4 linked regions of the Saccharomyces cerevisiae S288C genome follow. Changing the gene in region 3 together with the main gene of any one other region gives a genetic interaction. Each region holds a gene or a part of one and is shown on either strand. Other genes may lie near its edges. The genes, in order: ANS1, YMR316C-A, OAC1 and ITR2.

Region 1 (8,221 bases), on a different chromosome or scaffold from region 3:
GGAAGAGGATACGCCTGTTATCCTTACGCAGTTGAATGAAGATGGCACCACTTCGAATTATTTCGACAAAAGGAAACTAAAAATTGCCCCTAGATCAACACTACAGTTCAAAGTGGGACCTCCATTTGAATTAGTGAGAGATTATTGTCCAGTCGTTGAGTCTCATACCGGAAGAACACTAGATTTACGAATTATTCCAAGAATTGACAGAGGGTTCGACCATATTGATGAAGAGTGGGTAGGTTATAAAAGAAATTATTTTACCTTAGTATCAACGTTTGAAACGGCAAATTGTGATTTGGATACTTTTTTAAAGAGCAGTTTTGATCTTCTCGTTGAAGACTCTTCAGTAGAAAGCAGATTAAGAGTGCAATATTTCGCTATCAAAATAAAAGCTAAGAATGACGACGACGACACGGAAATCAATCTCGTCCAGCATACAGCGAAACGCGACAAAGGTCCTCAATTTTGTCCTTCAGTATGTCCGTTGGTGCCTTCCCCTTTGCCAAAACATCAAATCATAAGAGAAGCTTCAAATGTTCGAAATATCACTAAAATGAAAAAATACGATTCCACTTTTTATTTGCACAGAGACCACGTTAATTATGAAGAATATGGAGTGGACTCTTTATTGTTTTCCTATCCAGAAGATTCTATTCAGAAAGTTGCCCGTTATGAAAGAGTTCAATTTGCTTCATCAATTAGCGTGAAGAAACCATCCCAACAAAATAAACACTTTAGCTTGCATGTAATTTTAGGTGCAGTGGTAGATCCAGATACCTTTCATGGGGAGAATCCCGGAATTCCTTATGATGAACTGGCTTTAAAAAATGGATCAAAAGGGATGTTTGTGTATTTGCAAGAAATGAAAACGCCTCCTCTTATTATTAGAGGAAGATCACCTTCTAACTATGCGTCATCTCAGCGAATAACTGTGAGAACACCGTCGAGTGTCAATTCCTCACAAAACAGCACAAAAAGAAAAATGCCATCAATGGCGCAGCCGTTAAATGAAAGTTGCTTAAATGCAAGACCTTCGAAAAGGCGATCCAAAGTGGCGCTAGGTGCACCGAACTCTGGGGCCTCCATCTCGCCTATCAAATCTCGTCAATCCACACCAATGGAAGCTTCGAAGGAAAATGAGGATCCGTTCTTCAGGCCAAATAAAAGGGTGGAGACTCTTGAACATATCCAGAACAAACTGGGTGCTTTGAAAAATCAATGTCCAGATTCCTCTCTGAAATATCCGAGTTCATCTTCAAGAGGTATGGAAGGGTGTTTAGAAAAGGAGGATTTAGTTTACTCAAGTAGTTTTTCTGTTAATATGAAGCAAATCGAACTGAAACCGGCACGCTCTTTTGAACATGAGAATATTTTCAAAGTAGGCTCATTAGCATTCAAAAAAATCAATGAATTACCTCATGAAAATTATGATATAACAATAGAGAAGAAATCAATGGAACAGAATTATCTAAGACCAGAGATAGGCTCACGTTCTGAATGCAAAACAAGCTATGGTAACGAACTCTCCCTTTCAAATATTTCTTTCTCTATACTACCTAACTCAGCAGAAAATTTTCACTTGGAAACTGCACTTTTCCCAGCTACGGAAGAGGATGTGCCAAGGACATTTTCAAGAATATTAGAAACAGGTTCGTTTCAAAATTATTATCAAAAAATGGATGCAGAAAATGCAGATAGGGTATATTCGAAAGGGGTCAAGTTGATTGCAAGCGGTACTCTACCATCTGGTATATTTAATAGGGAAGAATTGTTTGAGGAAGATAGTTTCTATAAGTATTAAATAAACTAATGATTTTAAATCGTTAAAAAAATATGCGAATTCTGTGGATCGAACACAGGACCTCCAGATAACTTGACCGAAGTTTTTTCTTCAGTCTGGCGCTCTCCCAACTGAGCTAAATCCGCTTACTATTTGTTATCAGTTCCCTTCATATCTACATAGAATAGGTTAAGTATTTTATTAGTTGCCAGAAGAACTACTGATAGTTGGGAATATTTGGTGAATAATGAAGATTGGGTGAATAATTTGATAATTTTGAGATTCAATTGTTAATCAATGTTACAATATTATGTATACAGAGTATACTAGAAGTTCTCTTCGGAGATCTTGAAGTTCACAAAAGGGAATCGATATTTCTACATAATATTATCATTACTTCTTCCCCATCTTATATTTGTCATTCATTATTGATTATGATCAATGCAATAATGATTGGTAGTTGCCAAACATTTAATACGATCCTCTGTAATATTTCTATGAATAATTATCACAGCAACGTTCAATTATCTTCAATTCGGCTTCAGTACTGTATGAAATACTCGCTAACATTTTCTTTATTCTATAATAGCACAGTGACACTTAAACGTCAAACGTGGCGCACATTAATATACGATGTATGCATTTGGCTTGACACTGCTGTAATAAGGAACATCATCATCCGTCAACTAGTAGTCACATTAGTAGTGTATTATCACATGGTGTGTAAGAACATTACGTAAAGATTGAAAAAAAGTCATCAAAAATAAAGGAAGCTGAAACGCAAGGACTAGTAGTGTAATAGAATAATATTGTGTAAAAGTATCGATACCCTTTTTGGAATTATTGTATCTTCGAGGGTGGCTTTTAATATATTTTTGAAAACCTAATATTATAACCTTTCACAACAACGAAATCCCAACTGTTGTGTAATAATTTTACTCAATTCTTACTATTGCTTTACCAATCCTTGTATTTGAGCTCTCATAAAGTTCGCTGACTACTTCTCACGACTCATGTCATCTCCTTATACTGTATATGATAATATACTGGTGGTGAATGACAGCAAACTCTTTCTGGAAAACTTCTTGTCCTAAAGAACAAAATCAGTGTAATGTGTAGGCCAGTGTTATGTTTTCATGAATATGACATCTGATAAGAATAAAACAACTGGTAAAATGACTGCTTTTTCGGCTTATAAAATTCTAACATGTACATATTTTTTATAAAATGAAAATACTATTGTCCTTAATTGTACAATTTTTACATTTGGAGGCCAAATTATAAAAATAATAGCGCTGCTACTCCAACTATATAACCCATGTTCTTGGATTCAACCTTCATACCAGCACCTTCATAGACAGAGACATTTGCGGTACTACTTGGGGTAGTAGCAGCGGTAGTCTCAGGTCCAGACGCAGTGGCTTGGATTTGACCATCACTGATCTGTGAAATAGCGGCATCTTGCTTTTTGCCGGGTTGATGATCTGCAACAGCGCTTCTATTGGAACGATACAATGAGCCATTCCAACCACCCACATCATATACAGCTGCATTAGATATCTTTTTCTGCTGAGCTGCTAAGGACCAAGATGCGCTGCTGTTGAAGGCTTCATCAGTCGAATTAAATTTTCCTTCTATGTACGAGTTCGTACTATTCGCAAATTGTACGTCCAACGTGTCTGAGGAGTTGCTTACTTGTGCATGTGCAACTAGAATATTGGTGATGGCAAACAATGTGGAAACTAAAGTGCACTTCATGGTAGATTAATTATGATGTTCGTTTGATTCTGTTCTATATTTTTTATATGCTGACTGAACAGATTATAAAAATTAAATTACATGAAGTATTGAAGTTAATGTTGGCTATTTTTGAGGAGGAGGTTCACCTTTATATAGTATTCCTCGAGCTACAAAAACATGGATATTTTTACAAATGCTAGTAAAAAGGAAAGAGGTCAAAAGAAACGTTTGGCATCAAAAGTAATCAAAGTGGGGTCTAGATTTATAATTTGTACTACGAAGAATCGCGACTCAAGGTACCAGGTACGACTGAAACTTTCTTTTTGGATTTTCGAAGAGAGAAAAATTAGTTAGCATAAAAAGAAATATAAAAAAAAAGGAAAGGAAAAGTGTTCGAGACTTTACCATACAAAGAAATATTACGGTAGAAAAAAGAGCTGCACTTACCCAATACATATTGATGAGGTAGTATTCACGGTGAGAACAACTTACATCAACACCTCAGTTTGCCGAATCTGCAGTGATATTGTATCCAAAGTCTACTTTTCATCCTCATTTACTGTCATTACAGAAATTTGTCAGGAAAAGCAACCGGGTAAGGGAACTTTCAGGGCCAACGCGAAAAAAAAAAAGGTCCATCCATAGATTTTTTAGAAGATACACACCGTGAATTGATTAGAGATCATAGTAACCTCAAAATATACAATGTCTTAGATTGGAGCAGGCAGAAATATCTATCAGAGCACAAAATGGCTAGAAATAGAACAACCTCCAAGAAAAATGTTCAAAGTAAACGCTTAATAGACAGAGTGGTTCCCATGGACAAGATTAAAAAAGTTGGCGTAGCGAAAAAAAAAACCGTAGAACACACTAAAGAAGGATTTAGCGTTGTCAACGGTAAGCTAGTAAGCAGCAATGACGTCGGTGTACTGTTAAGAGAAGCACAGGGTGCTATCGATAAAAGAACTAATGTTTCCCAAAGAAATAGGAAAAAGGGAATAAAGAATAATAGGCCCCACAAAGACATAAACAGCAGTCCTGACTGGGGCAATGCCCACAGAGGAACCGATTGGCAGAGCGAAAAAGCAAACGGCATGAACAGGGCCAAGAACTCTCGGAATTTTACCACTAATATTAAATTGCAGCGACAACATTTTGGCGAAGAAATACAAGGTGGCAGCCAGCTTGTGATATCTACAAATTCAGATGCTTCAGATAAATTGTTAATGCTATTCAACCTAACTTTGGGAGTAAACCAAGAAAACTTGAAAAATGTTCTGGAAAACATTTCTCAGGTGCAGATAGCTCAAATTAGGGTTAGAGACCTGCCTTCAGGATCTGCCACCGCTAAGGTCCGTCTGGCATATCCTACAACACAGTCTTTGGAGAAGGTAAGAAAACTGTTCCATGGCGCTCTAGTTGATGGAAGGCGCATCCAAGTGGTGATTGCATCTGATGAATCGTCCCACTTGTCGTATTAGAGTTTGTCAACGACACTCACAAGGTATTTAATCAGCAAAATCCCCGCCACAAACTATTTTTTTGAAGACATGCTTTCTCATGACTGCCTAATAACAATACCTCATTCTACTAGTAATCGACCTATGTAATTATTTCATAAACTATAAAGCAGGTCATTGCAATAACAGAAAGGCCGGTTTTTCTATAAGCTTATCTCATCGCATAAAAAATCGACAGTTGTAATTATCTCCGGCGGACTTTTCCCTTTCCGTCTTTTTTTTCAAAATTTTTTTTTTTTTCACTTCTTCTTTCAAAGCTGCCTCAAAAGAGATATATATATTGGTAAGAATCCTCTTCCAATACTAGCTTCATTTCTTCTTGAACCATGAACCCGTTATTCTTTTTGGCTTCTCCATTCTTGTACCTTACATATCTTATATATTATCCAAACAAAGGGTCTTTCGTTAGCAAACCTAGAAATCTGCAAAAAATGTCTTCGGAACCATTTAAGAACGTCTACTTGCTACCTCAAACAAACCAATTGCTGGGTTTGTACACCATCATCAGAAATAAGAATACAACTAGACCTGATTTCATTTTCTACTCCGATAGAATCATCAGATTGTTGGTTGAAGAAGGTTTGAACCATCTACCTGTGCAAAAGCAAATTGTGGAAACTGACACCAACGAAAACTTCGAAGGTGTCTCATTCATGGGTAAAATCTGTGGTGTTTCCATTGTCAGAGCTGGTGAATCGATGGAGCAAGGATTAAGAGACTGTTGTAGGTCTGTGCGTATCGGTAAAATTTTAATTCAAAGGGACGAGGAGACTGCTTTACCAAAGTTATTCTACGAAAAATTACCAGAGGATATATCTGAAAGGTATGTCTTCCTATTAGACCCAATGCTGGCCACCGGTGGTAGTGCTATCATGGCTACAGAAGTCTTGATTAAGAGAGGTGTTAAGCCAGAGAGAATTTACTTCTTAAACCTAATCTGTAGTAAGGAAGGGATTGAAAAATACCATGCCGCCTTCCCAGAGGTCAGAATTGTTACTGGTGCCCTCGACAGAGGTCTAGATGAAAACAAGTATCTAGTTCCAGGGTTGGGTGACTTTGGTGACAGATACTACTGTGTTTAAATAAATCACACCCGAACACCATCTTGAAGGTTCAGAACGGCTGAAGCCGCATATCAACTTTTGGTTTCTACTGTTTTAAATTTCCTTTCTCGTTTTAAACCTTTGTTGCCGTCTCTTCTACTATCAATTTTGTTGTTCATGCATGTTTAATTACCTTTTTTTGTAAAAATAATATAAACGTATCAATGGCTATTTATAACAAATATGCTTGAAAAATCTAACGACTCTGTTTCTTACATTAGGTTCGAATAAACACGGGTACTGTCCTCTAGCCAATCTGACTTTTTGGTCCAAAGTCTTTGAAAGGTAGATAACCCCGTTAAAATAGAACCACCAATCCATGTAGTATATTTTCTTTCTGAAGGGGCTATAATCTTTATCTTGGATGTTCCTTTGGTTAATGCCTCCAAATCCCATAGCATTCGGTCTCCAAAGCCTTTAAGCGTTGTAGTTCCGCCACTTAGGATTATCGATGACAGTAAAGGTTTCCTTAAATCCAGATCGACTTTCCAAATAGATTGCATGCACATATCAGATAATCCATCGTACCCTAAGCCGATGATTTGAGGTGAAAATAATATTTCTGGAGCACGATATCGATCATTCCCCACCTCTATACACCTCCCGTCGGGCAATTTGAATGTCGAGATTAAATCTTGAGTACCTTGTAAGTATTTCTCCTCTTCCTTTTTAATATTCTTGGCCAAATAACAAACTTTCTCTTTCATCGTGCGAACAATCTCTCGTTCACTGCTGGAAAACAACGAAACACCAGCTGATTTCCGTAGTTGAAATTGTAACTGCTCTGTGATATCTGCTCCTCCAATATCCATCCTCATCATAGACGCAGGTAATGCAAAGCCGTCATATATGGGAACAGTGCTACAGTATCCTTCACCACAGTCAACTACACAACCTGTAGTTCTCCCACTAGCATATAATGACAGAACAGCAGGGTTTGAAACGTACAAAGCCGATACGTCAAAGGTCTCGAACAATACTTGAGCCATCTGCTCTCTATTCTTCAAAGGATTCATCGGGGCTTCCGTAATTAATAAAGGATGCTCACCTATATTTTGCAACTGTAGGACTTCATTTAACACATATGACCATATTAGTTCCATAGAATCCCAATCTTCCACCACGCCGTGCTTTATGGGGTATCGTAATTTTAATAATCCACGCAGTTTTTGGGCATTGTTTCCAATAAATGTATCTCCTTGCAGACCTTCGAGCATAACTTTATCATATTTGGTATTTCCTACGAGACAATATTCCAGTGCTTTAGGCCTTTCCTCACCACTAAATCCTGCTTTTATGATCCCAGAACCATTGTCGATCACTACCGGTTGATTGTACAAAGCATAGCTGTCACTTAGCTGGTCCATTGGCTAACTTTCTTTCTAATTCCTCAATTCGTGGTATAGCATTAGCATGTACTCCTTGGTCTATGCCCTTTTATTAATTTGCTGTTTTATTGGGAATATCTGCTATTTGCTTCGCTATTATTCAATAAAGGTGTTTATCATTATTGATGTGCATCGCGAAAATGGCCACTTTGGAAATGAACTTTTTCTTGAAAAGATTAATACAAACGGAAAAAGAGAAGGCAATAGGAAACTCACCGTCACACAGGTGTACTGTGTCCTTTGCTTTGAGCTCTTGTTCAGAACATTATGCTACTTAGCATTCTTTTATGAGCTTTTTTCTGTAGTCTTATTATAGGTTGATGAAAGCGTTACCTTCAAGAAATGATTTTTAACGTGGTATAATAAACACTGTTTATCATGGTAAAACAGGTATTTCTTTTATTCTTTGGAATTACCAGACGATACCCATTCAAAATTCAACTTCTAATCAAACGTTGATCAATAAATACTGTATTATGTTGCTTGTTTGAAATTAGAGGCATTGCCTTTGTTAAATTGAAATATAAACTGGAAAAATGAAGCGAAAATAAAGTACTGTCTATAAACAAAAACCTTAAAATGATTAATGTTAACCTTTCTGAGCAACGAAGCAATCCATACGTATTGAAAGCTTTAGCTCTTGGAGTACGGTGTCGAGAAATCGAAGTAAGACCTAGTAGAAAATCA
Region 2 (8,371 bases), on a different chromosome or scaffold from region 3:
TTCTCCTACAGGCCGTCTGTTCCAAGTGGAATACGCCTTGGAAGCTATTAAACAAGGGAGCGTCACTGTGGGGTTACGTTCGAACACTCATGCTGTTTTAGTAGCGTTGAAAAGAAATGCAGACGAATTGTCATCATACCAGAAAAAAATCATCAAATGTGACGAGCACATGGGGCTCTCGTTAGCCGGGTTGGCTCCAGATGCTAGAGTTTTAAGTAATTATTTGAGACAACAGTGTAATTACTCCAGCTTAGTTTTTAACAGAAAGCTTGCCGTCGAGAGAGCAGGTCATTTGCTTTGCGATAAAGCACAGAAAAATACACAATCCTATGGGGGCAGACCCTACGGTGTTGGTTTGTTGATCATCGGGTATGACAAGAGCGGTGCTCATCTTTTAGAATTCCAACCTTCCGGAAATGTCACAGAACTATATGGTACAGCTATTGGCGCAAGAAGCCAAGGGGCAAAGACTTATCTAGAGAGAACTTTAGACACGTTTATAAAAATTGACGGGAACCCGGATGAACTAATCAAAGCTGGCGTCGAGGCTATCAGCCAGTCTCTAAGGGACGAATCCTTGACTGTAGACAATCTTTCAATCGCCATCGTGGGTAAGGATACGCCTTTTACAATTTACGATGGAGAAGCTGTTGCTAAATACATCTAGGTCTGGACACAAAGTATCGTTTCCACTAAGCAATTGTCAAAGCAAGACCAAAGAAGCCTTTCACCACGGTCGGGGTTTTTTTACATATAAAGATAATAATAGATTAACTTAGTACGTAGTCTCACTTCTCATTCAAAATTAAAAAAGACGTGGCTTCCAAATCAACTAATAACCCCGCTTAATTCCGCCCTCCGCCGGGGAATAAACGGAGTTATCCCCTGTTGAAAATTCAGCATGATTATGTATCACAATACATAGGTGTTCGTCTATAAAAAGAACTACTTATTCTGGATAAACTTTCGAACTCGCTCAAACCTATTTGTTTCTGTACATCGAATAGACCCATAATCACTTCTTGGTTCCAAAAAGTAAAGTAATAGCCAAAAATGTCCCCATTGAACGTCGGTATAGTTGGTACAGGTATTTTTGCCAGAGATAGACATCTCCCATCCTACCAGGAATTTCCTGACAAATTCAAAGTCATTGCCGCCTTCAACAGACATAAGGCAAAAGCTTTGGATTTTGCAAAGGTTGCTGACATACCTGAAAATAAGGTTTACGACAATCTAGATGAAATTTTGAATGACCCTCATGTCGACTACATTGACGCTTTGCTACCTGCTCAATTTAATGCTGATATTGTCGAGAAGGCAGTTAAAGCAGGTAAGCCAGTTATTTTGGAAAAACCAATTGCGGCCAACTTAGACCAAGCAAAGGAGATTGTCAAGATAGCAGAATCCACCCCATTGCCCGTTGGTGTGGCTGAAAATTGGTTATATTTACCATGTATTAAAATCGCAAAGGAGCAGATCGAGAAAATTGGTCCTGTAGTAGCATTCACCCACAATTCTACCGGTCCATTTGTTACTCAAAATAAATATTTGACCACAACCTGGAGACAAAAACCAGAGCACATTGGCGGATTTCTATCTGATGGTGGTGTCCACCAATTAGCTCTCGTTATTTCCCTACTCGGTGAATTTGGATCTGTTTCTGCATTAACGAGACAGGTGCGTGAACGTTCCGGTGCAGATGATATTGTCTTTGCTACTGTCCAGTTGAAAAATAAAGAGGTTATCGGAAGTTTTACTTATGGGTCTGCCTTTGGTGCTACCGAAAAGTCGGTTTTCTTGAAAGTCTATGGTAAGAATGGTACCGTTACCGTTGACTTATCAGACAAAAAAGACCCCGTTGTAAAAGTCAAATTAGGGGGTTCAGCTGAAGATAACGGTGACGAACAAATTTTTAAAGTCGATAATGATGAAAGTTTCGGCGTCAACGCTGAATTTTTGAATTTTCACGAAGCTGTCAGCAAGAAGGACAAATCCTTATACCTAGGCACACCCAGAACTGCATTTCACCATTTGGCTTGTGTGGACGCGTTTTTAAAATCTTCTGCCAAGAATGGTGACTACGTTAAAATTGAGCAGCCATGATTACCGTTTTACGATGTAACGCTTTTTTAACCTTAATAGATAGATTCCCTCATATATTTATAACTATGTACCCACATAAGTATACTTTTGGAATGATAATACTAACGAGATAAAAAACCGTTGAAAAATTTCTAAGTTTTCTTGAACTAAAAATAGCCAAAATTCTCCATCCACTTGTTGTTGCAAAATGTTACGAAGGCGAGGTTCTTGGAAATCTGGATGATTATGGGAAAATTCGTTCAACAAGAACGCCGAGCCTGGACGAAATACTTAGTCGGCATGGAACTAGTTATGAATGACTTTTCCTATATAAGATCTACAACCGTTTCCAATTCACCATGAGATATATATATGTTTAACGAATCAGGTACTCGTCCGAAGCATTTCGAGTAATGCAACCCCACAAGTGTCCCCCAAGAATTCACTGGGATTTTTGATGACCGAAAGAAAGCTATTGCAGCTGCTACGGCGTCCTTTCATCTCCCTTTCTTTATTCACGGCCTTAAGAGCTTGTCCGCTTCGCCCCAAAAGCCTAATTGCTTAGAGCATGAGAGTTGAAAACGACCAGAAGTGTCGTTTTAGGTAAGCATTCGGCCATAATGAACAGTAAGTTTGTCCGAAAAATACACCGCTAGGGTTCGATAACGAAGAGCGCATATCAATTGCGTTGTCGACTTAATTGCTCTCTTAGTACAACGGTATGTGTCAGTGATAAAATCCTACCGGTTCCACTTTTTGTGAGCGATAGATGACGGAACGTATGCGCCTATTTCTTTTTTTTGGCGCAGCAAGGGACAATGGTCCCTTTTTGAGAAAATGTTGTAGGCTTGGCCATCGGCGTGAACGCATATAAAAAGAAGACTGCCAACATGACAGTATTTGAAACAACTACAGATTTGGCAAAGTTCGCCAAGATAAAGAAGACCGAAGCAGGTGCTAAGCTTCCATTAAAAGTTTTTCAAGAAAAATCTGATTATGGGTTCAATAAGTAGATACCTTCTTAAGAAAGCAGCAGATGGGCTTAAAGATGAGCAGAGATTGAAGATTGAAATGTCCGATAGCAAAAGTGTCCCAGAGTGCTTTCATTTTAATAGGGAAAGAAGAATGCCCATAGCCGAGATAAACGGCGAGGATGGGTTTTTCATGTTTCCGTCTCAGCAATCGCTTGAAAATTTTGAAAACACTAAAAAGTATTCGAATGAGCTGAGTCCAGATGCAATTGGTATTCCATTATTCCAAATTATCAATTGCACTCTACCGTTTGGTAAAAGAGGTCATAGCAATACTGTGGTCGGCAATGTCCCATATTATAAAATTTTCAAATTTATTTTAAGAACGGCAGACGAACCTCCGCCTTATACTGTGGCAAAAATCGTTTGCTCAAACAACGGATTAATATTGTATAAAGTGCCTCTTTACGACATATATAAAAATGTCAGCCAAGCAAACGTAACTTACAGCTTCGTAGGGACTACGTCTACGGAGCCCAACTTACTAGCAATGGCTCACCGAGAAGGACACAGGGATTTGGACACTAAAGTGAATAATTTAAATCTCAGGTGGCATGTCACTTATTCGCCCGTAGTTACCAACGATCATTATAAATTAATTCTGTTAGCAGATTATGAAGTGAATCGTTTGGATGAAGATGTCATTAGAGCCGCTAAAAATAAGATGTCCATCGACCAAAAGGATCAAAAAGTTCAGAGGTTCGTGGCAGCTCATTATACTAGAGAATTTGAAACATCTCTTTTTAGGTGGGTCGCTCAAGAGGGCCACTTAATTCTTGGCGAGTATTCCACAGATCAAGGATCATTTGGATTGAATAATATCCCACCATTGACGGAAGAACTCGGGTGTCAGAGCCTGCTCATACATTACATAGAGTACATGAAGAGACAACGTAAAAAAATTGCGAAAGAGGCAAGGAGACAAAATAAAAGAAACGTTGCAAACACGACTAACATGAACATGAACCTCATGTAACAAAAGTTTGCGTATAATAAACCAGTATAGATGTGTAACTGTAATTTTTAACTTATCACAAGCTCGTTCCCTTCCTGCGTTGAAAAAGCGGGACAATGCCAGAATATAAAAAAAAGAAGAAACTTTAAACCCTGTCATATCTTGTCCGAGATCTCGTCGTTCTTGTTTAATTGATCTTCTTCGTATACTGCCAAAGGTGCCAAGGCACAAAAAAGTTTAAAGTGGCACGGGCTATTGCGTCACATAAAGCCCGTAGCGCAAAAAAGTGATAGCTGACTTCATTAGATCACCAAAATGGAAAAAACTTCGTGAAGATTTCTTTTTATCTTCCTCACAGTTTTTAACTTCCGGGTGTTATACTCTCCGTTTGAAAAGTTGATTTTGTTAACTTTCCTCTTTCCTTTTGGAGTAAAAACAATATCCTCGATAGGCAAGACCTTCCTGCACCGCTATGGCGGCCATTTTGATTTTTCTTTACTGTGGGAAGCAAGAACTTGTTCAGGCGCCTTCCTGGATAAGCCATCTTTTTTCAAACAGTTTCTTCTATACGATAGGAAAGTCGTTGGCCAATCGATTAATTAATTGAACAATAGGAGCCAAATAAGCAGGATATCTTCTTTCGTATACCGCCTGCCTCATTATTCAGAACAAACACGAGTGATCTGACACTATGAAGTTAGCAGTAATCCTTTCTAAGAGAGGTGGCCCAAAATTCGAATAAAATTAACTTTCCTTACCATTTAGCCTCTATCAAAAAGGTTCTAAAAAGTAATATCACACAGCCGAGCCTAGGACGTCACCTCTTTCCTACACAGTTGACATTACTTATGTACTCAAAAGGACGTATGTACCAAGGAAAGCATAGTTTTTATTCAAATCGAGTTTTTTATTCTTATATCCTGCTTAAAAGTGGTGATTAATGAGGAAAAAATGACAGCAAGAATGAAATAGTATGTAATTTCTTTAGATTTAGCGGTGCCCGTGCCTTCCACGCGCAACTGTTCTCTCTAATTTACTATTCGCTTTGAACGTAAAATGTGCTTTAGTTTCCCAGATGTAGCTCAAGTATTATACCATCTTTTGCACCTACTTTACTAAATTCATCTCAGGTATAATTGTATCGCATATTCTATTTTTTTTGACATTTAATGCAAAATTGTGTACCTTTCGTTAAGGCGAATTTTCTGGACCATGCGCAGATCTGATCCAAAATAAACTTTTTTTCATGAAGCTCGTTTGCGATCATTGCCTGTGAATTTAGCGAAGGTGTCAGTCCACGGCGACTTAGAACTCACGTAAAAATAAGCATCTTGCTAAGACTGTTCAGCAGTCAACAGTAAAGTTCTGAAAACATGTTTTCTTAGTCTCTATCTTTGCCCATGTTCCTCTCAAGTGGAACAAAGCTAAAAATGAAATATTAATTTTATATAAAGTCTCACTCACACCTGTGGTAATTTTGTTCCCTCAGATTTGTCAATGATTCTGTCATAGAAAAGGTATCCACAAGAAAGGGTAGCGCCGTATCAAAATGGGTTCATCTGGTTCAAAATCGACCACAGCCACTACCACATCGCATAGTAGCACGACTACTACTAGTAGCACAACCAGTACAACTACGCCTACTACCACTAGCACGACAAGCACGACAAGCACTAAAGTTACAACTAGCCCAGAAATTATTGTCAGTAGTTCTAGCACATTAGTTTCTTCTGTTGTACCCGAGTTTACTTCTAGCTCGTCGCTCTCCTCTGATACAATTGCCTCAATTCTATCATCGGAGTCATTGGTTTCCATTTTTTCTTCTCTTTCTTACACATCATCCGATATTTCTAGTACATCAGTCAACGATGTCGAATCATCAACCTCTGGCCCCTCAAACTCATACAGTGCGCTTTCCTCCACAAATGCACAACTGTCCAGCTCCACTACAGAGACTGACTCCATAAGTAGTAGTGCTATTCAAACATCTTCCCCGCAAACCAGTTCATCAAATGGAGGTGGTTCCTCTTCGGAGCCATTGGGAAAGTCCTCTGTCCTTGAAACTACTGCTTCATCTTCTGATACAACTGCAGTCACATCCTCCACATTTACCACGCTTACTGACGTTTCATCTTCTCCAAAGATAAGTTCCTCAGGATCGGCTGTCACTTCAGTTGGTACTACTTCCGATGCCTCAAAGGAAGTTTTTAGTTCAAGCACGTCCGATGTTTCTTCCCTACTATCAAGTACTTCCAGCCCCGCAAGCTCTACTATTTCTGAAACCCTACCATTTTCCTCTACAATTTTATCCATCACTTCCAGCCCAGTAAGTTCAGAAGCTCCATCGGCAACGTCTAGCGTAATTAGTTCAGAAGCTTCATGGGCAACGTCTAGCTCAGTGAGCTCGGAAGCTCCATTGGCAACGTCTAGCGTAGTGAGTTCAGAAGCTCCATCGTCAACGTCTAGCGTAGTGAGTTCAGAAGCTCCATCGTCAACATCTAGCTCAGTGAGTTCCGAAATTTCGTCAACAACATCTAGCTCAGTAAGTTCAGAAGCTCCATTGGCAACGTCTAGCGTAGTGAGTTCAGAAGCTCCATCGTCAACATCTAGCTCAGTGAGTTCCGAAATTTCGTCAACAACATCTAGCTCAGTAAGTTCGGAAGCTCCATTGGCAACGTCTAGCGTAGTGAGTTCAGAAGCTCCATCGTCAACATCTAGCTCAGTGAGTTCAGAAGCTCCATCGTCAACATCTAGCTCAGTGAGTTCAGAAGCTCCATCGTCAACGTCTAGCTCAGTGAGTTCGGAAATTTCGTCAACAAAATCTAGCGTAATGAGTTCAGAAGTTTCATCGGCAACGTCTAGCCTAGTGAGTTCGGAAGCTCCATCGGCAATTTCCAGCTTAGCAAGTTCTAGACTGTTTAGCTCTAAAAATACATCAGTTACTTCTACTTTGGTTGCTACAGAAGCTTCGTCAGTAACTTCTAGCCTAAGACCTTCTAGTGAGACATTAGCAAGCAATTCAATCATTGAAAGCTCTTTGTCGACGGGTTACAATTCGACCGTTTCTACCACAACATCCGCCGCATCTAGTACACTTGGATCTAAGGTTTCGTCAAGTAATTCCAGAATGGCCACTTCCAAAACCTCATCTACTTCCTCCGACTTGAGTAAGTCTAGTGTAATATTCGGCAATAGTTCTACCGTTACAACCTCTCCATCAGCGTCTATCAGTTTAACCGCATCTCCACTTCCATCGGTCTGGTCTGATATCACCTCTTCGGAAGCTTCATCAATTTCCTCTAACCTGGCTAGCTCCAGTGCGCCATCTGACAATAATTCCACCATTGCAAGTGCCTCGCTGATTGTCACCAAAACAAAAAACTCAGTCGTTTCATCAATTGTCTCTAGTATAACTTCTTCTGAAACTACAAACGAATCCAATTTGGCCACATCTAGTACATCGCTTTTGAGTAATAAAGCTACTGCCCGTTCTTTATCAACATCCAACGCTACAAGTGCTTCTAACGTTCCAACAGGCACATTTAGCTCCATGAGCTCTCATACTTCGGTGATAACTCCCGGCTTTTCCACCAGTAGTGCGTCACTCGCAATTAATTCAACTGTCGTTAGCTCATCATTGGCAGGTTATAGTTTCTCGACACCTGAAAGCTCTCCAACTACTTCCACTTTGGTTACTTCAGAGGCTCCTTCAACCGTTTCCAGTATGACCACAAGTGCCCCATTTATAAATAATTCTACCTCTGCTAGACCTTCGCCAAGTACAGCTAGTTTCATTACTGAATCCACTTCAAGCATTTCCAGCGTGCCATTAGCGAGTGGCGACGTCACTTCCTCATTAGCGGCCCACAATTTAACTACTTTCAGTGCTCCTTCAACATCCAGTGCACAACTTGTAAGCAAATCAACTACCTCTAGCTCCATCCTGGTCACACCCAGAATCGACAGGTCTGGAAATTCCTCAACTGCCTCTAGAATTGCAACATCACTCCCTAACAAAACTACATTTGTTTCTTCCCTAAGTTCAACATCCGCTCATGCCAGAAATATCTTTAATTCAACTGTTCTAGCTACTGCTAAACAAATTGAAACTTTAACTTCAACAGTCAATTGCAGCAACCCTACTCCTAATTACAACATAACCAAAACAGTAATCGTAAGTAGGGAGACTACTGCCATAGGAACTGTTACAAGTTGTTCGGGTGGTTGCACCAAGAATAGAAAGTCAACCACACTTATTACTATAACAGATATTGATGCTTCTACTGTTACTACTTGCCCAGAA
Region 3 (8,988 bases):
TAATCCGGATAGGGAAAAGGCAGAAAAGAGTTATGAGTCATTCATGGACGATCTGAACAGGTGTGAGCAATTAGGGATAGGCCTGTATAACTTACATCCAGGTTCTACTTTGAAAGGAGACCATCAGTTGCAGTTAAAACAACTAGCCTCATATTTGAACAAAGCAATTAAGGAAACGAAATTTGTTAAAATTGTATTAGAAAATATGGCTGGTACTGGAAATTTAGTAGGAAGTTCTCTGGTAGATTTGAAGGAGGTTATTGGAATGATTGAAGATAAATCAAGAATCGGCGTTTGCATAGATACATGCCATACATTTGCAGCAGGCTACGATATCAGCACCACTGAAACGTTTAACAATTTTTGGAAAGAGTTCAATGATGTAATAGGGTTCAAATATCTAAGTGCTGTTCACTTAAATGATTCCAAGGCTCCTTTAGGAGCAAATAGAGATTTGCATGAACGCTTGGGTCAAGGTTATTTGGGTATAGATGTGTTTAGAATGATCGCGCACTCTGAATACCTGCAGGGTATCCCTATTGTCTTGGAAACTCCATACGAAAATGATGAAGGCTATGGTAATGAAATCAAACTTATGGAGTGGTTGGAATCAAAGAGTGAGAGCGAATTGTTAGAAGACAAGGAGTATAAAGAAAAAAATGATACGCTGCAGAAATTAGGTGCTAAATCGCGTAAGGAACAGTTAGACAAGTTTGAGGTTAAACAAAAGAAGCGAGCTGGGGGCACCAAGAGGAAGAAAGCCACTGCAGAGCCAAGCGATAATGATATCTTGTCACAAATGACAAAGAAGAGGAAGACTAAGAAAGAATAATGAGAAGCGAGAAGAATTTTAAATACGTAATCAATTTTTGTAGATTATCTCAACGTACGTAACTAAATGCTACCCTTCGTCATCCAAGATGCTGTTGCCCATTTCATAGAAACTACTTACTTGGTTTATAGATGTTTCGCGTTGCGTTACAGAATAAGGCAGCCTTTTTTTTTTTTAGATTTTCATTTTTCACATACTGATGGATTAGCAGACGAAAAGGGTAAAGTTAAATACATTCCAGTAAATGAACTAAGAAGGCTGAGCACACCATCCTCTTATGGAACGTTATTCCTAAGCATAGAAAGTTTTTTACTTGTAATCTTCAACGCGGGGTGTGTTCTTTATCTTTTTTTTCTTTTTTACACAATTAGACAAGTATATTTTGAGATAGTAATCACATCTACGCTTCGAATTCATCCATACCCACAGCAGCTGTTAGGTTATACCGACAATGGATGAATATAGTAGTATATATTCACAACCAAAGACTCCTCGGTTGAAACAAGAAGGATTTCCCGACTCCATTGGCGATCAACACGAAAAGGCATTGATTGATGAAAATGGTGAGGAAGATAAAAAAATGGCATCCACTGAAGGGACCACTGGTGATTCTCGCAGTACACCTTTGACTGTATCTATTCCGACGTTTGAAAATGTCCAAGCATTACCTACACCGATGACCTACACTCCGTTATCCCCAGGCAATCTGTCAATGTCACCTATAGATCAATCCTCGTTGAATATACCCAAAAGACGAAGTCATGCACGATTACTGGATGATATGCTTTCTGTTACACAACCAAACCAAAGAGTTGTTTCTGAACTTATTGCACCAGCTAATTTATCCCCCCAAAGGGTTGTTTCCTTACCAACAGTGACTGAAGAGGCTTTAGTAAATGATTCTGTTGATAGTGATAACTACACGAAAGAACCTTATTTTCCCGAAAGTAGTAGTTCTACCGAAAAGTGTGACGATGATATATTTCAGGGATTTCTTTTAGATCACTGGGATCGCCCGTTATTATGGAAAAAGGTCAGGCCCATTGGTTCAGGAAATTTTAGTACCGTACTTTTATATGAACTCATGGACCAAAGCAATCCTAAACTGAAACAAGTGGCCGTTAAACGACTCAAATATCCCGAGGAATTATCAAATGTTGAACAAATCAATACATCGTTACGATATAAGGAAACTTTATCCCGTTTGGAAAATTCTCTGACTAGGGAATTGCAGGTGCTAAAATCACTAAATCACCCATGTATAGTTAAACTACTTGGGATAAACAATCCAATTTTTGTTACTAGCAAAAAACCTTTATGCGATTTGATTATAAAAACTCCAAGAGCTCTGCCGCCTTGTGATATGATTATGTCTTATTGTCCTGCAGGAGACTTATTAGCTGCCGTCATGGCCCGTAACGGAAGACTAGAAGCGTGGCTGATTCAAAGGATTTTTACGGAAGTAGTACTGGCAGTAAAATATTTGCACGAAAACAGTATTATTCATCGGGACCTAAAATTAGAGAATATACTACTGAAATATAGTTTTGATGATATCAACAGTTTTAGGGACTCACCCATTTACTGCAAGCAAAATTTCATTGAGCTAGCAGATTTTGGTCTCTGCAAAAAAATTGAGAACAATGAGATGTGTACAGCAAGATGTGGATCAGAGGATTATGTCTCACCAGAAATCCTGATGGGAGTTCCCTACGATGGCCATTTAAGCGACACGTGGGCCTTAGGTGTCATACTATACAGCTTGTTTGAGGACAGATTACCATTTGACCCTCCTCCAAACGCTTCAGCAAGACAGCGTAGCAGAGCTACGTCACATCGTATTGCCAGGTTTGATTGGAGATGGTACCGGTTAAGCGATTATAAAACTAATGTGGGAAAACAGATTGTGGAAAATACGCTAACGAGGAAGAACCAACGTTGGTCGATTAATGAAATTTACGAATCCCCCTTCGTTAAAACGATCGCTGATACTCTAAGTTTTTCTTGAAATTTCCCACGGATGGGAGTTACTTTCGTTTTCTTTCTTATTGCTTACACCTGATAATCATCCAGCATATAGAAATTGTTCTTTAAATATCACATACAGTTCCATTACTTGACATTTGCAACATAATATTTCTGCTTTTTTCTCTATTTTGCATCCAATATAGCTTCTATCTGCTTACTACTGTCTTTTTGACAATGTACAATATATATCTAAGATAGTTACGAATAAAAATATTTTTATTAATTCCATAATATTTAATTACATAGAGGCAGCCAATAACAAACAGGTAAAGAGTTGTGTAAAGTGCATATATTCGTCTTTTATTCTAAGTTACTCATTCTAGCACTCCAGGTTGATTTGCTCCTCCTTTTAAGCTTTCACTTCCGGCTCTATTTCCTCTTCTTCATCTTCTTCATCGTTTTCTTTGAAATCTCCCATGTCCAAATTACCACCGCTTTGAGCCAATAATTGCTGCAATTGAGCCATATCTGGAGAACCAGCGCCACCAGCACCTCCCATCATTTGGCTGAAGTCCATGCCTCCAGCACCTCCAGCACCTCCAGCACCTCCCATCATTTGGCTGAAATCCATTCCTTGAGCGGCATCATTACCTTCAGCTTCAACTTCGTCTTGTTCATCTTCATCAACCCATTTATCGAAATCAGTTTTGATGTAAGGGTACTTCACCTTTTCCTTTGTCAAACGTGGCCAGTATTCAGATTCTAAATCCTTTTTATACAATTTCAAAAAGTAGTGCTGGCCATTAGCAACCTTATGCATTGTTTTTTCAGGTATAATTTCCTTGTATAGATCAATGTGTAATTGATAATGATGGACATTTTCATCGCCAACATGAGGCTTTGATTGAGCCTTTAATTCGATGTATGATGGCTTAATGGTTAACTCAGGGGCATCACAGTCTGCAATTGACACAGTTATTAAGACATAATTTCTTTCTGGATCAGTAGTACTAGACCTTTGAGCCCATGCAACTTGAGGGTTAATAACTTTATCGGACATGACTATTATGAATCGATGATCTTGGGAACTTGTTGTTGTAATGAATTGAGTCCACTAGGTTTCTCGAACAAGTTAATACATTGCCACCCATTTCGTCTTTTTATGCTTTTTTCCATGCTAATTCTTGCCGCTCCTCTCCGCCCCTTCAAAAACACTCGGAAGGCGGGTAGCATTAAAAGTCGAACAGTTTGTTGGTAACTTTTGTAGGTATATGTGTACCAATAACCACAAATTAAGTATTGATTATCACAGTCAACCTCTTTGTATATCAAAAATTATACTCTGTATTCATAAAAGGCAGTTATTTTAAAAGCAAGTAACGGCAGGAAAAAAATTATTAATAAGTATAAAAAGATTGGACGAGTCCGGAATCGAACCGGAGACCTCTCCCATGCTAAGGGAGCGCGCTACCGACTACGCCACACGCCCTATTTACTGTTAGTGTATTTCCACTTAGATTACTATAACAAGCTCTTTTAAACAATAAAACAGTTCTATAACAACCGATTTACGAAATTCTTCTGAGTAAATGAGGTCACAAATGAACTTTCTTTAACTTCCTCTTTGTCTCCATTCGTTTTTCCATGCTTTTTTTGTTTCTGTCGAAATGAAATCCTTGTATCATCTATTGGCTAGTATTCGTCTTCCTAGAATATTATCACAGCGGTGTAAGATGATGACATAGAGATTGGGAAACAGTTATCGGTCTTAATGGAAGCTGAAATGCAAGGATTGATAACGTGATAGGGTAATGAATGGCAAAGTATAGAAGAAAAGAAGTTAGAGTAATATTATCATGTAGAAAGACCGATTCCATTTTGAGGTTTCCTATACCCTCGAGGGGAACTTTTAGGATATTCTGTGTATCTCATACTATAGTCTTTAACTATGATTGAATCCGAACAATTATATTGTTCACGAAATACTCAGTTTTACAAAAATCTTGTGTATTTAACTGACTCAAAGTAGACATGACGGACGTGTGAATATTTAAAATGAGAAACGAGGAAGCGAAAATAAAGCAAATCTCACATGAAAACGCTGAAAGAAATGAAGAAAAGGTAAGATAGGATAATTGACGATTGGCATCACATAAAAGAACTCTAATGTTCGAAATTAAACTGAATGATAGAATAACTGAATTTCTGCGAAAGTTCAAGAATAGCGCGAAATCAAACGAAGGAATTGATGAGGACATTGATTTGTTCCTGAAGCGACACGCAATACCTATGCAGTCACTTCTTTTTTATGTGAAAGAGTATAGAAAAGACAGTGATCTCCAATGCTCTATCAAAGAACTTTTGAAACCTTTGGAGTTCGAATTCAAGCCCAAGGCCGTCAGAGGTTTACACTATTCAGAGGATTTCAAGAAAAAATTAGAGTTTTTGAAATATCAGGAACAAGAACTTGAATATCAAAGTATGGTCAAGAGAAGCAAGTCTGTCTTTTCACTTCAAGAAGACGATGAACTCACGCCTTCACAAATTAATAAACAGATTAAGGAACAAGTTACCACTGTTTTCAACGTTCTTGTAAGTGTCATATCGGTTGTTGTGGCCATTTGGTACTGGACCGGATCTTCAACAAACTTTCCGGTCCATGTTCGTCTTTTGTTGTGCTTGTTCTTTGGAATATTGGTCTTAGTAGCAGATGTGGTTGTGTATAACAGCTATCTGAAAAAACTCGAAGAAGCAAAAGTAAAAGAAAAAACAAAGGTTGAGAAAAAGAAAGTTCTAAGCAAGATTACACTGTAACTGATCATTTTATAAATAAGAACTCCGAGATCCGAGAGCATATAATTCTTGGAACTGGACAATTGTGAATAATGTTCTGTATGTTTATAATTACGTTTATAAAACTATCGTGTATGAATGTGAAATAAAAAATGCTCTATTATCCTTAATGCTACATAATATGAAGAAAAAGGTTGTAATGAAACCATTAGTAAAGTAGAACTGTCCTGGCCAATGAATGAAACTTCAAACCTCGGAGTTTGTTATGGGAATTAATTATGGCCTAAAACTCTCGACTCTATCGAATAAACTAGTTTCATTGTCTGTTCCATGAAGGTCAAACACATGATTGTATGAGGTGCGATTCTGAACACTTGAGCTGCAAAACCCTTATACAAAGCGGTTACACCTTCGATTCTAACAGTTTTGACCAAACAATCTATAGGTCCCTTGTACAAGTCACCTTTTTGATTATAGATTCTTGTCAAAATGACATCCCATGGGTTCATAACGACGGCAACACCTAACCCAGAGATAGTACTAGCAGTTAAATGTAATGCTGGGCCATCTTTCATCAGATCATTTTTGACCAAAATGTTCTTTGCTGTGTTGTAGATAGGTAGTTGAACAGAGGAACCAGCACCTGTCCTTAAAATTGCCGCATCAATACCTCTGAATAGACCCTTAACACCTTCGGTTTTAAAAATGGTTACTAACCCGTTCCAAACACCGGTGTAGTGCGTTTGTTCACCAATTTTTATAAACTCGGAATATGATTGAAGTCTTGTTTTCACCAAGAATAATGGAGAGCCAATGACTGCACCAATTATACCAGATGCGGCACCAGAAAAGACGTTAACTCCGACGCTCTGTACCTTATGTGGCTCTTGATCTGGGAAGAAAAGCTGATTTAATGATGATCTGATTGGCTCATAAAACCCTAATCTGGAACCATTTAGCCCAATTTGATAGATATAAGCAGCATTTAACCCTTTTTGCAGACCTTTTATACCTTCGTTTTTGAAAATTACCGCCATACCTTGGATTGGATTTTTATAAACTTTTGCAGCTGATGCTGACATTTCACCTTGAAGCTGCATTCTGATTTTAATCAATTCGATCGGATTAGTAACTGTAACAGCTATACATGCTGCTAGCCCACCAGCCACAAACGAACCAAACTTCGATATCTTCTGGGCGGCTGTTTTTTCAATTTGTTTATCTTGTTTAGAGTTGTCAGATGACATATTTGCTTACGATATAATTCGATGAGATGTGCTTGTGTCTGACTTGCTATAGCAATCTAAGGAAAACTATTTCGGATGGAGTTCTGGAGTGGGGGCATTATGGAAGAAGAAAGTATATCTTAATGTTGCATATAATCACATAGTTTATATATATGCAGTATTTATCATTTGACGACTTAGTCACAGCTTGAAATTTCAGCGGTGCTTAATGTTCGTTTTCTTTTTTTTTTTTTTTTCCGCAACAGAAGGCCGATTCCGCTGTAACTTAATGAGGTATTAAATGCCAGATTCGTTTTCGTGACCTCCTTTAGCATATCGGCAGACCCTGACTCGCAACTGGAATAACACCACATGCGAACAAAAGCATATTTTTGCCCTACTTAATTTGAGAGTGGAAAATCTTTCCTCGATTTCATTTTTCTTATAGCCCAATTGACGTCTCTGTAGGCCCTAATAGACCCCATCGGCCTAAGACCGTTTCCGGCATCTTTCGGGTTGTAGATGGTTCTGTGAGAAAATGTGTCAGTAATGAAAAATAATAAAGATCGCTACAGATATAAATAATAATACTATGTTATTTGCAGACATGCTTATGATCTAAAGACGGTGGAACAGATAGTTTTTCCTCTTACTTTCTGATTCTCTATCTGAAATTATTGAGGATTGTACCACAATCAGCACACGTGAAACCGCTATCACCGCCAGCAATGGGGTTTTTGGAAGCACATTCAAAATTAGATCCATTGCAGACGTCACATTTCAACTTCGGATAAGTGGTAGAAACTCTCGGAATATCATGCGGTCCAAACACCGTGGAGCTCGTACTTTCACTTCTTGACTTTAGGGATATAAAACTTCCATTGGATTTATTAAAGATCGAATTCTTGAAAATAGCACTAGCTCTTGATGGCATGCCGGAAATCACCGGGCTATTATTAGGATGCAGCTCACAAAAATCGTGGCTTGGCCTACTATTGTGCGTGTTAGATGGTGGGGTTGTGCTAAACTCATTATCCTCTGTGGAACTTCTTTCATCCATTCTATTTTCCAATATGCTGTCATTGTTGTGGTTGTTGATTTTACCAGCAGCTTCGAGGTGGAATAAATTGTATTCATGGAACTTTTCTATTATTTTTTTTCGTATTTCCGGTAAGATATCAGTTCTGAAAACACGGATTAGACCTTGACTGTCTGTTGTTATTAGAATGGTTCCAACATTATTCACAACGTTCGATAGGTTTGAGCTGAATCCTCCTGTTTCTGTAACTGGGTGATTAGGTTTGTTATCACATGTTTCCTTAGATTCTGAATAATTTTGGCCCATTTCTTTGAAGTACTGTGAAGTCAGTTCGAAAATCAAATCGTTTGACAAGGACAAATTTTTAATTGCAACGTCGGGAGCAATGGAAGCACATGTGACAGGGGAGTTATGGGCATGAAATGATATATAATGATTGTTTTTGATAGCTTGAGAACCAACAGTTTGAGTTTGAAGAACATTTTTTGATGAGTTGGTAAATGTGTGTGAGCTGCTTTGGTTTGACGTTTCTGTCAAACATTCATCATTCGTACTCTTATTAGATACAATTCTCAACAGCCCTTTTAAACTCATACTGCCGCTCAGCCGTTTCTTTCTATGCGGAGCAGTGCAATTCATTTCTGCTGAAAGATTAAAGGACTGCATTTTCCAGGTATAAAACCAATGATCATCACTTCCCGTGAAAACTACAGGTTCATTTTTCATCATTAGGAATTGGCCTCTATGACGTGAGGAACCACTTTGGAATCCTTTAAAAAGCTCTAAAGGTTTTTTTTCATTTAAATCAAAGATTTGAATTTTTGAATCATTTGTCGTAACTATCAATCTTAAATTTTTGTCCACCTTAGAAAAGAAGCATTGTAAACCCGTGATTCGAGGGCCGTGTTGGACCTTTCCATATTCGGAAGATGGATGAAAGCTATTCTTAGTGGTTCCTTGAGTGCTTTTATCAGATACATGGAATGAAGATACAAATTTTAATCCATGTGTCAGTAAAACATAAATGTATCCATTGAATGTACCGATAATTGTATATTCCCCACCAGGAGGAGATAATGTTAGGGATGTTATCAAATCTTTGCAATCAAAGGCATAAGAAACCTCATTGT
Region 4 (6,419 bases), on a different chromosome or scaffold from region 3:
AAAAAGTGCACCATCCTATTTCATCTCATTTACTGATGAGACAACAAAATTCCGTTGGGTTTATCCATTACACGACCGTCGCGAGGACTCTATCCTCGATGTTTTTACTACGATACTAGCTTTTATTAAGAACCAGTTTCAGGCCAGTGTCTTGGTTATACAAATGGACCGTGGTTCTGAGTATACTAACAGAACTCTCCATAAATTCCTTGAAAAAAATGGTATAACTCCATGCTATACAACCACAGCGGATTCCCGAGCACATGGAGTCGCTGAACGGCTCAACCGTACCTTATTAGATGACTGCCGTACTCAACTGCAATGTAGTGGTTTACCGAACCATTTATGGTTCTCTGCAATCGAATTTTCTACTATTGTGAGAAATTCACTAGCTTCACCTAAAAGCAAAAAATCTGCAAGACAACATGCTGGCTTGGCAGGACTTGATATCAGTACTTTGTTACCTTTCGGTCAACCTGTTATCGTCAATGATCACAACCCTAACTCCAAAATACATCCTCGTGGCATCCCAGGCTACGCTCTACATCCGTCTCGAAACTCTTATGGATATATCATCTATCTTCCATCCTTAAAGAAGACAGTAGATACAACTAACTATGTTATTCTTCAGGGCAAGGAATCCAGATTAGATCAATTCAATTACGACGCACTCACTTTCGATGAAGACTTAAACCGTTTAACTGCTTCATATCAATCGTTCATTGCGTCAAATGAGATCCAACAATCCGATGATCTTAACATAGAATCTGACCATGACTTCCAATCTGACATCGAACTACATCCTGAGCAACCGAGAAATGTCCTTTCAAAAGCTGTGAGTCCAACCGATTCCACACCTCCGTCAACTCATACTGAAGATTCGAAACGTGTTTCTAAAACCAATATTCGCGCACCCAGAGAAGTTGACCCCAACATATCTGAATCTAATATTCTTCCATCAAAGAAGAGATCTAGCACCCCCCAAATTTCCAATATCGAGAGTACCGGTTCGGGTGGTATGCATAAATTAAATGTTCCTTTACTTGCTCCCATGTCCCAATCTAACACACATGAGTCGTCGCACGCCAGTAAATCTAAAGATTTCAGACACTCAGACTCGTACAGTGAAAATGAGACTAATCATACAAACGTACCAATATCCAGTACGGGTGGTACCAACAACAAAACTGTTCCGCAGATAAGTGACCAAGAGACTGAGAAAAGGATTATACACCGTTCACCTTCAATCGATGCTTCTCCACCGGAAAATAATTCATCGCACAATATTGTTCCTATCAAAACGCCAACTACTGTTTCTGAACAGAATACCGAGGAATCTATCATCGCTGATCTCCCACTCCCTGATCTACCTCCAGAATCTCCTACCGAATTCCCTGACCCATTTAAAGAACTCCCACCGATAAATTCTCATCAAACTAATTCCAGTTTGGGTGGTATTGGTGACTCTAATGCCTATACTACTATCAACAGTAAGAAAAGATCATTAGAAGATAATGAAACTGAAATTAAGGTATCACGAGACACATGGAATACTAAGAATATGCGTAGTTTAGAACCTCCGAGATCGAAGAAACGAATTCACCTGATTGCAGCTGTAAAAGCAGTAAAATCAATCAAACCAATACGGACAACCTTACGATACGATGAGGCAATCACCTATAATAAAGATATTAAAGAAAAAGAAAAATATATCGAGGCATACCACAAAGAAGTCAATCAACTGTTGAAGATGAAAACTTGGGACACTGACGAATATTATGACAGAAAAGAAATAGACCCTAAAAGAGTAATAAACTCAATGTTTATCTTCAACAAGAAACGTGACGGTACTCATAAAGCTAGATTTGTTGCAAGAGGTGATATTCAGCATCCTGACACTTACGACTCAGGCATGCAATCCAATACCGTACATCACTATGCATTAATGACATCCCTGTCACTTGCATTAGACAATAACTACTATATTACACAATTAGACATATCTTCGGCATATTTGTATGCAGACATCAAAGAAGAATTATACATAAGACCTCCACCACATTTAGGAATGAATGATAAGTTGATACGTTTGAAGAAATCACTTTATGGATTGAAACAAAGTGGAGCGAACTGGTACGAAACTATCAAATCATACCTGATAAAACAGTGTGGTATGGAAGAAGTTCGTGGATGGTCATGCGTATTTAAGAATAGTCAAGTAACAATATGTTTATTTGTTGACGACATGATTTTATTCAGCAAAGACTTAAATGCAAATAAGAAAATCATAACAACACTCAAGAAACAATACGATACAAAGATAATAAATCTGGGTGAAAGTGATAACGAAATTCAGTACGACATACTTGGCTTAGAAATCAAATATCAAAGAGGTAAATACATGAAATTAGGTATGGAAAACTCATTAACTGAGAAAATACCCAAATTAAACGTACCTTTGAATCCAAAAGGAAGAAAACTTAGCGCTCCAGGTCAACCAGGTCTTTATATAGACCAGGATGAACTAGAAATAGATGAAGATGAATACAAAGAGAAGGTACATGAAATGCAAAAGTTGATTGGTCTAGCTTCATATGTTGGATATAAATTTAGATTTGACTTACTATACTACATCAACACACTTGCTCAACATATACTATTCCCCTCTAGGCAAGTTTTAGACATGACATATGAGTTGATACAATTCATGTGGGACACTAGAGATAAACAACTGATATGGCACAAAAACAAACCTACCGAGCCAGATAATAAACTAGTCGCAATAAGTGATGCTTCGTATGGCAACCAACCGTATTATAAATCACAAATTGGCAACATATATTTACTTAATGGAAAGGTAATTGGAGGAAAGTCCACCAAGGCTTCATTAACATGTACTTCAACTACGGAAGCAGAAATACACGCGATAAGTGAATCTGTCCCATTATTAAATAATCTAAGTTACCTGATACAAGAACTTAACAAGAAACCAATTATTAAAGGCTTACTTACTGATAGTAGATCAACGATCAGTATAATTAAGTCTACAAATGAAGAGAAATTTAGAAACAGATTTTTTGGCACAAAGGCAATGAGACTTAGAGATGAAGTATCAGGTAATAATTTATACGTATACTACATCGAGACCAAGAAGAACATTGCTGATGTGATGACAAAACCTCTTCCGATAAAAACATTCAAACTATTAACAAACAAATGGATTCATTAGATCTATTACATTATGGGTGGTATGTTGGAATAAAAATCCACTATCGTCTATCAACTAATAGTTATATTATCAATATATTATCATATACGGTGTTAAGATGATGACATAAGTTATGAGAAGCTGTCATCGATGTTAGAGGAAGCTGAAACGCAAGGATTGATAATGTAATAGGATCAATGAATATAAACATATAAAACGGAATGAGGAATAATCGTAATATTAGTATGTAGAAATATAGATTCCATTTTGAGGATTCCTATATCCTCGAGGAGAACTTCTAGTATATTCTGTATACCTAATATTATAGCCTTTATCAACAATGGAATCCCAACAATTATCTCAACATTCACCCATTTCTCACCTTCAGCTCAAATCCTCATCCCGGAACCTTTTTTCTTATTTGTTCCCTCTTCTACTACAAGAGCTTTCAAATTGTAGTCAAAAACCCGCTTTACTAAAAAAACATCGCCAAAAAAATTTCCAAAATCGCTCGTCTTGCCACTAAAAGTATGCAAAATATTATGTGAAGCAAAGTTATTTCGTGTCTTCCGCCTAACAGAACGTAAGCAGTTGACCATACTTTAGTATAGAGTACGAAAAAACACAAAGAATACCTTAATAAAATAAACATTGTCGTTCGCTAGGAAAACGGTAACGAAAACAAAAAACTAAAAGAAGAAAAGAGGCAGGACGCAGTAAAAGCAAGAAAACTGCTTTTTTTTCATGGCTGAAATGAAGAATTCGACAGCTGCTAGTTCCAGATGGACGAAGAGTCGTCTCTCCCATTTCTTTCCCTCGTACACTAATAGCAGTGGTATGGGGGCCGCCTCAACTGATCAATCTTCTACGCAGGGAGAAGAACTGCACCATAGGAAGCACTGTGAAGAAGACAATGATGGTCAAAAACCGAAAAAGTCTCCCGTATCCACCTCTACAATGCAAATAAAATCTAGACAGGATGAGGACGAGGATGACGGTCGAATTGTCATTAAACCAGTTAACGATGAAGATGATACATCAGTGATTATAACTTTCAATCAGTCAATATCCCCTTTTATTATTACATTGACATTCGTTGCGTCCATTTCTGGGTTCATGTTTGGTTATGATACTGGTTACATATCGAGTGCGCTAATTTCTATCAATAGAGATTTAGACAACAAAGTTTTAACTTATGGAGAAAAAGAATTAATTACGGCCGCCACATCATTGGGCGCTTTGATTACAAGTGTGGGCGCTGGTACTGCTGCTGATGTGTTTGGAAGAAGACCATGTTTAATGTTCTCCAATCTGATGTTTTTGATCGGAGCAATTTTACAAATTACCGCGCACAAGTTTTGGCAAATGGCGGCCGGTAGACTGATTATGGGTTTCGGTGTCGGTATTGGTTCTTTGATTTCTCCTCTTTTTATTAGTGAAATTGCTCCTAAGATGATCAGGGGTAGGTTAACCGTTATAAATTCCCTATGGCTGACAGGTGGTCAATTGATTGCTTACGGTTGTGGTGCGGGCCTGAACCACGTCAAAAACGGTTGGAGAATCTTAGTTGGTTTGTCCTTGATACCTACTGTTTTGCAGTTTTCTTTTTTCTGTTTTTTGCCGGATACACCAAGATACTACGTAATGAAAGGCGATTTAAAGAGAGCAAAAATGGTTCTCAAACGAAGTTACGTAAACACTGAAGATGAAATAATTGATCAAAAAGTTGAAGAATTATCTAGCTTAAATCAATCGATACCAGGAAAAAATCCAATAACAAAATTCTGGAATATGGTCAAGGAATTGCACACTGTGCCTTCAAATTTCAGAGCTTTGATTATTGGTTGTGGTCTACAAGCCATTCAACAATTCACAGGTTGGAATTCCTTAATGTATTTCTCCGGTACAATATTTGAAACTGTTGGATTCAAAAATTCTTCTGCCGTTTCTATTATTGTCTCAGGTACTAATTTTGTGTTCACATTAATAGCATTTTTCTGTATTGATAAAATCGGCCGTAGGTACATTTTACTGATTGGACTACCTGGTATGACTGTGGCGCTGGTTATATGTGCTATAGCGTTCCATTTCCTAGGTATTAAGTTTAACGGTGCTGATGCAGTAGTGGCATCTGATGGATTTTCATCTTGGGGCATTGTCATTATCGTATTTATTATTGTGTATGCAGCCTTTTATGCCCTCGGTATCGGCACTGTTCCATGGCAACAATCGGAATTATTTCCACAAAACGTCAGAGGTGTAGGGACATCCTACGCTACTGCCACCAATTGGGCAGGTTCTTTAGTCATTGCGTCTACGTTCTTGACTATGTTACAAAATATTACACCAACGGGTACATTTTCATTCTTTGCCGGTGTAGCATGTTTATCAACCATTTTTTGTTACTTTTGTTATCCAGAACTATCAGGATTGGAGTTAGAGGAAGTTCAAACAATTTTAAAGGACGGATTCAATATCAAAGCCTCTAAAGCTCTAGCTAAAAAGAGGAAACAACAGGTGGCCGAAGGTGCTGCCCATCATAAACTCAAATTCGAACCTACACAGGAAATTGTAGAAAGTTAGACTGCTACACCAACAAAAAATAAAAGATAAAGAACAAAAAAGAAGGAAGAAAGCTATAAAAGGGAGACAATTCATTTCATCTAATCTTAAAAGTTTTTATTTAAATATATAAGTAAGAGCGAAGTATTTAAAAATAAAAATTCATAAAAGTTGAGCTTGATGAAAGTTATATCTTTTCGAGCGGTATGTTTCTTTCGTGTAAAATTCTTCTTAAAGTATCTAACTTCTCCTCATCTTTCAAGTTTCCTTTAACTACAACTTTTTGGATCAATTCAACGGGAATACTGCTGCTTAAGTAAACATTATTGAGCGACCTGAACATTTTCAAAGTTTGAAAGAATAATGGAGAATGGCAGTCGATGAAAATATAGACGTTACTTGAAGAACGCATTCCACTAATAACTCCCTTCGCGTGCAACATCCCCGGCGATAAATGGACATGATTTCTACTCATTGGTGATATTGCTCCGGATTCAATAATCTTTATGACAGATTGAAGATTTGTTCCATGAATTAGTTCCTGTGGTAACTGCGACGCTTCAGTAATTGGTACGAGAACCTCATCTGATGGCTGAATCGATTTGATTGAATGTCCCTGAGTAGCACAGATCCATTCTTCGTCCGCTCC

Evidence for each region.
Region 1: mutations in OAC1 (region 3) and ANS1 together harm fitness more than expected from each alone (negative genetic interaction), as found in Saccharomyces cerevisiae (one large-scale study listed by BioGRID).
Region 2: mutations in OAC1 (region 3) and YMR316C-A together harm fitness more than expected from each alone (negative genetic interaction), as found in Saccharomyces cerevisiae (one large-scale study listed by BioGRID).
Region 4: mutations in OAC1 (region 3) and ITR2 together harm fitness more than expected from each alone (negative genetic interaction), as found in Saccharomyces cerevisiae (one large-scale study listed by BioGRID).

Annotation. Positions count from the first base shown.
Region 1 is NC_001140.6:356,641-364,861, forward strand, and holds ANS1 (Ans1p), read right to left. Parts: upstream 3,542-8,221; coding exon 3,062-3,541; downstream 1-3,061. Other genes in the region: transcription factor NDT80, read left to right, coding at 1-1,804; YHR125W (uncharacterized protein), read left to right, coding at 2,218-2,523; YHR127W (uncharacterized protein), read left to right, coding at 4,273-5,004; FUR1 (uracil phosphoribosyltransferase), read left to right, coding at 5,475-6,125; ARP1 (actin-related protein 1), read right to left, coding at 6,359-7,513.
Region 2 is NC_001145.3:901,747-910,117, forward strand, and holds YMR316C-A (uncharacterized protein), read right to left. Parts: upstream 4,228-8,371; coding exon 3,916-4,227; downstream 1-3,915. Other genes in the region: PRE5 (proteasome core particle subunit alpha 6), read left to right, coding at 1-667; YMR315W (uncharacterized protein), read left to right, coding at 1,054-2,103; YMR315W-A (uncharacterized protein), read left to right, coding at 2,540-2,647; DIA1 (Dia1p), read left to right, coding at 3,079-4,089; YMR317W (uncharacterized protein), read left to right, coding at 5,618-8,371.
Region 3 is NC_001143.9:215,196-224,183, reverse strand, and holds OAC1 (Oac1p), read right to left. Parts: upstream 6,841-8,988; coding exon 5,866-6,840; downstream 1-5,865. Other genes in the region: DNA-(apurinic or apyrimidinic site) lyase APN1, read left to right, coding at 1-832; serine/threonine protein kinase PRR1, read left to right, coding at 1,284-2,840; Hsp90 cochaperone SBA1, read right to left, coding at 3,210-3,860; VPH2 (Vph2p), read left to right, coding at 4,967-5,614; DGR2 (Dgr2p), read right to left, coding at 7,484-8,988. UniProt on the Saccharomyces cerevisiae protein: Antiporter that exchanges dicarboxylates and sulfur oxoanions across the inner membrane of mitochondria. Exports alpha-isopropylmalate from mitochondrial matrix to the cytosol, where it serves as a precursor for leucine biosynthesis.
Region 4 is NC_001147.6:120,040-126,458, forward strand, and holds ITR2 (myo-inositol transporter ITR2), read left to right. Parts: upstream 1-3,961; coding exon 3,962-5,791; downstream 5,792-6,419. Other genes in the region: TPT1 (tRNA 2'-phosphotransferase), read right to left, coding at 5,958-6,419.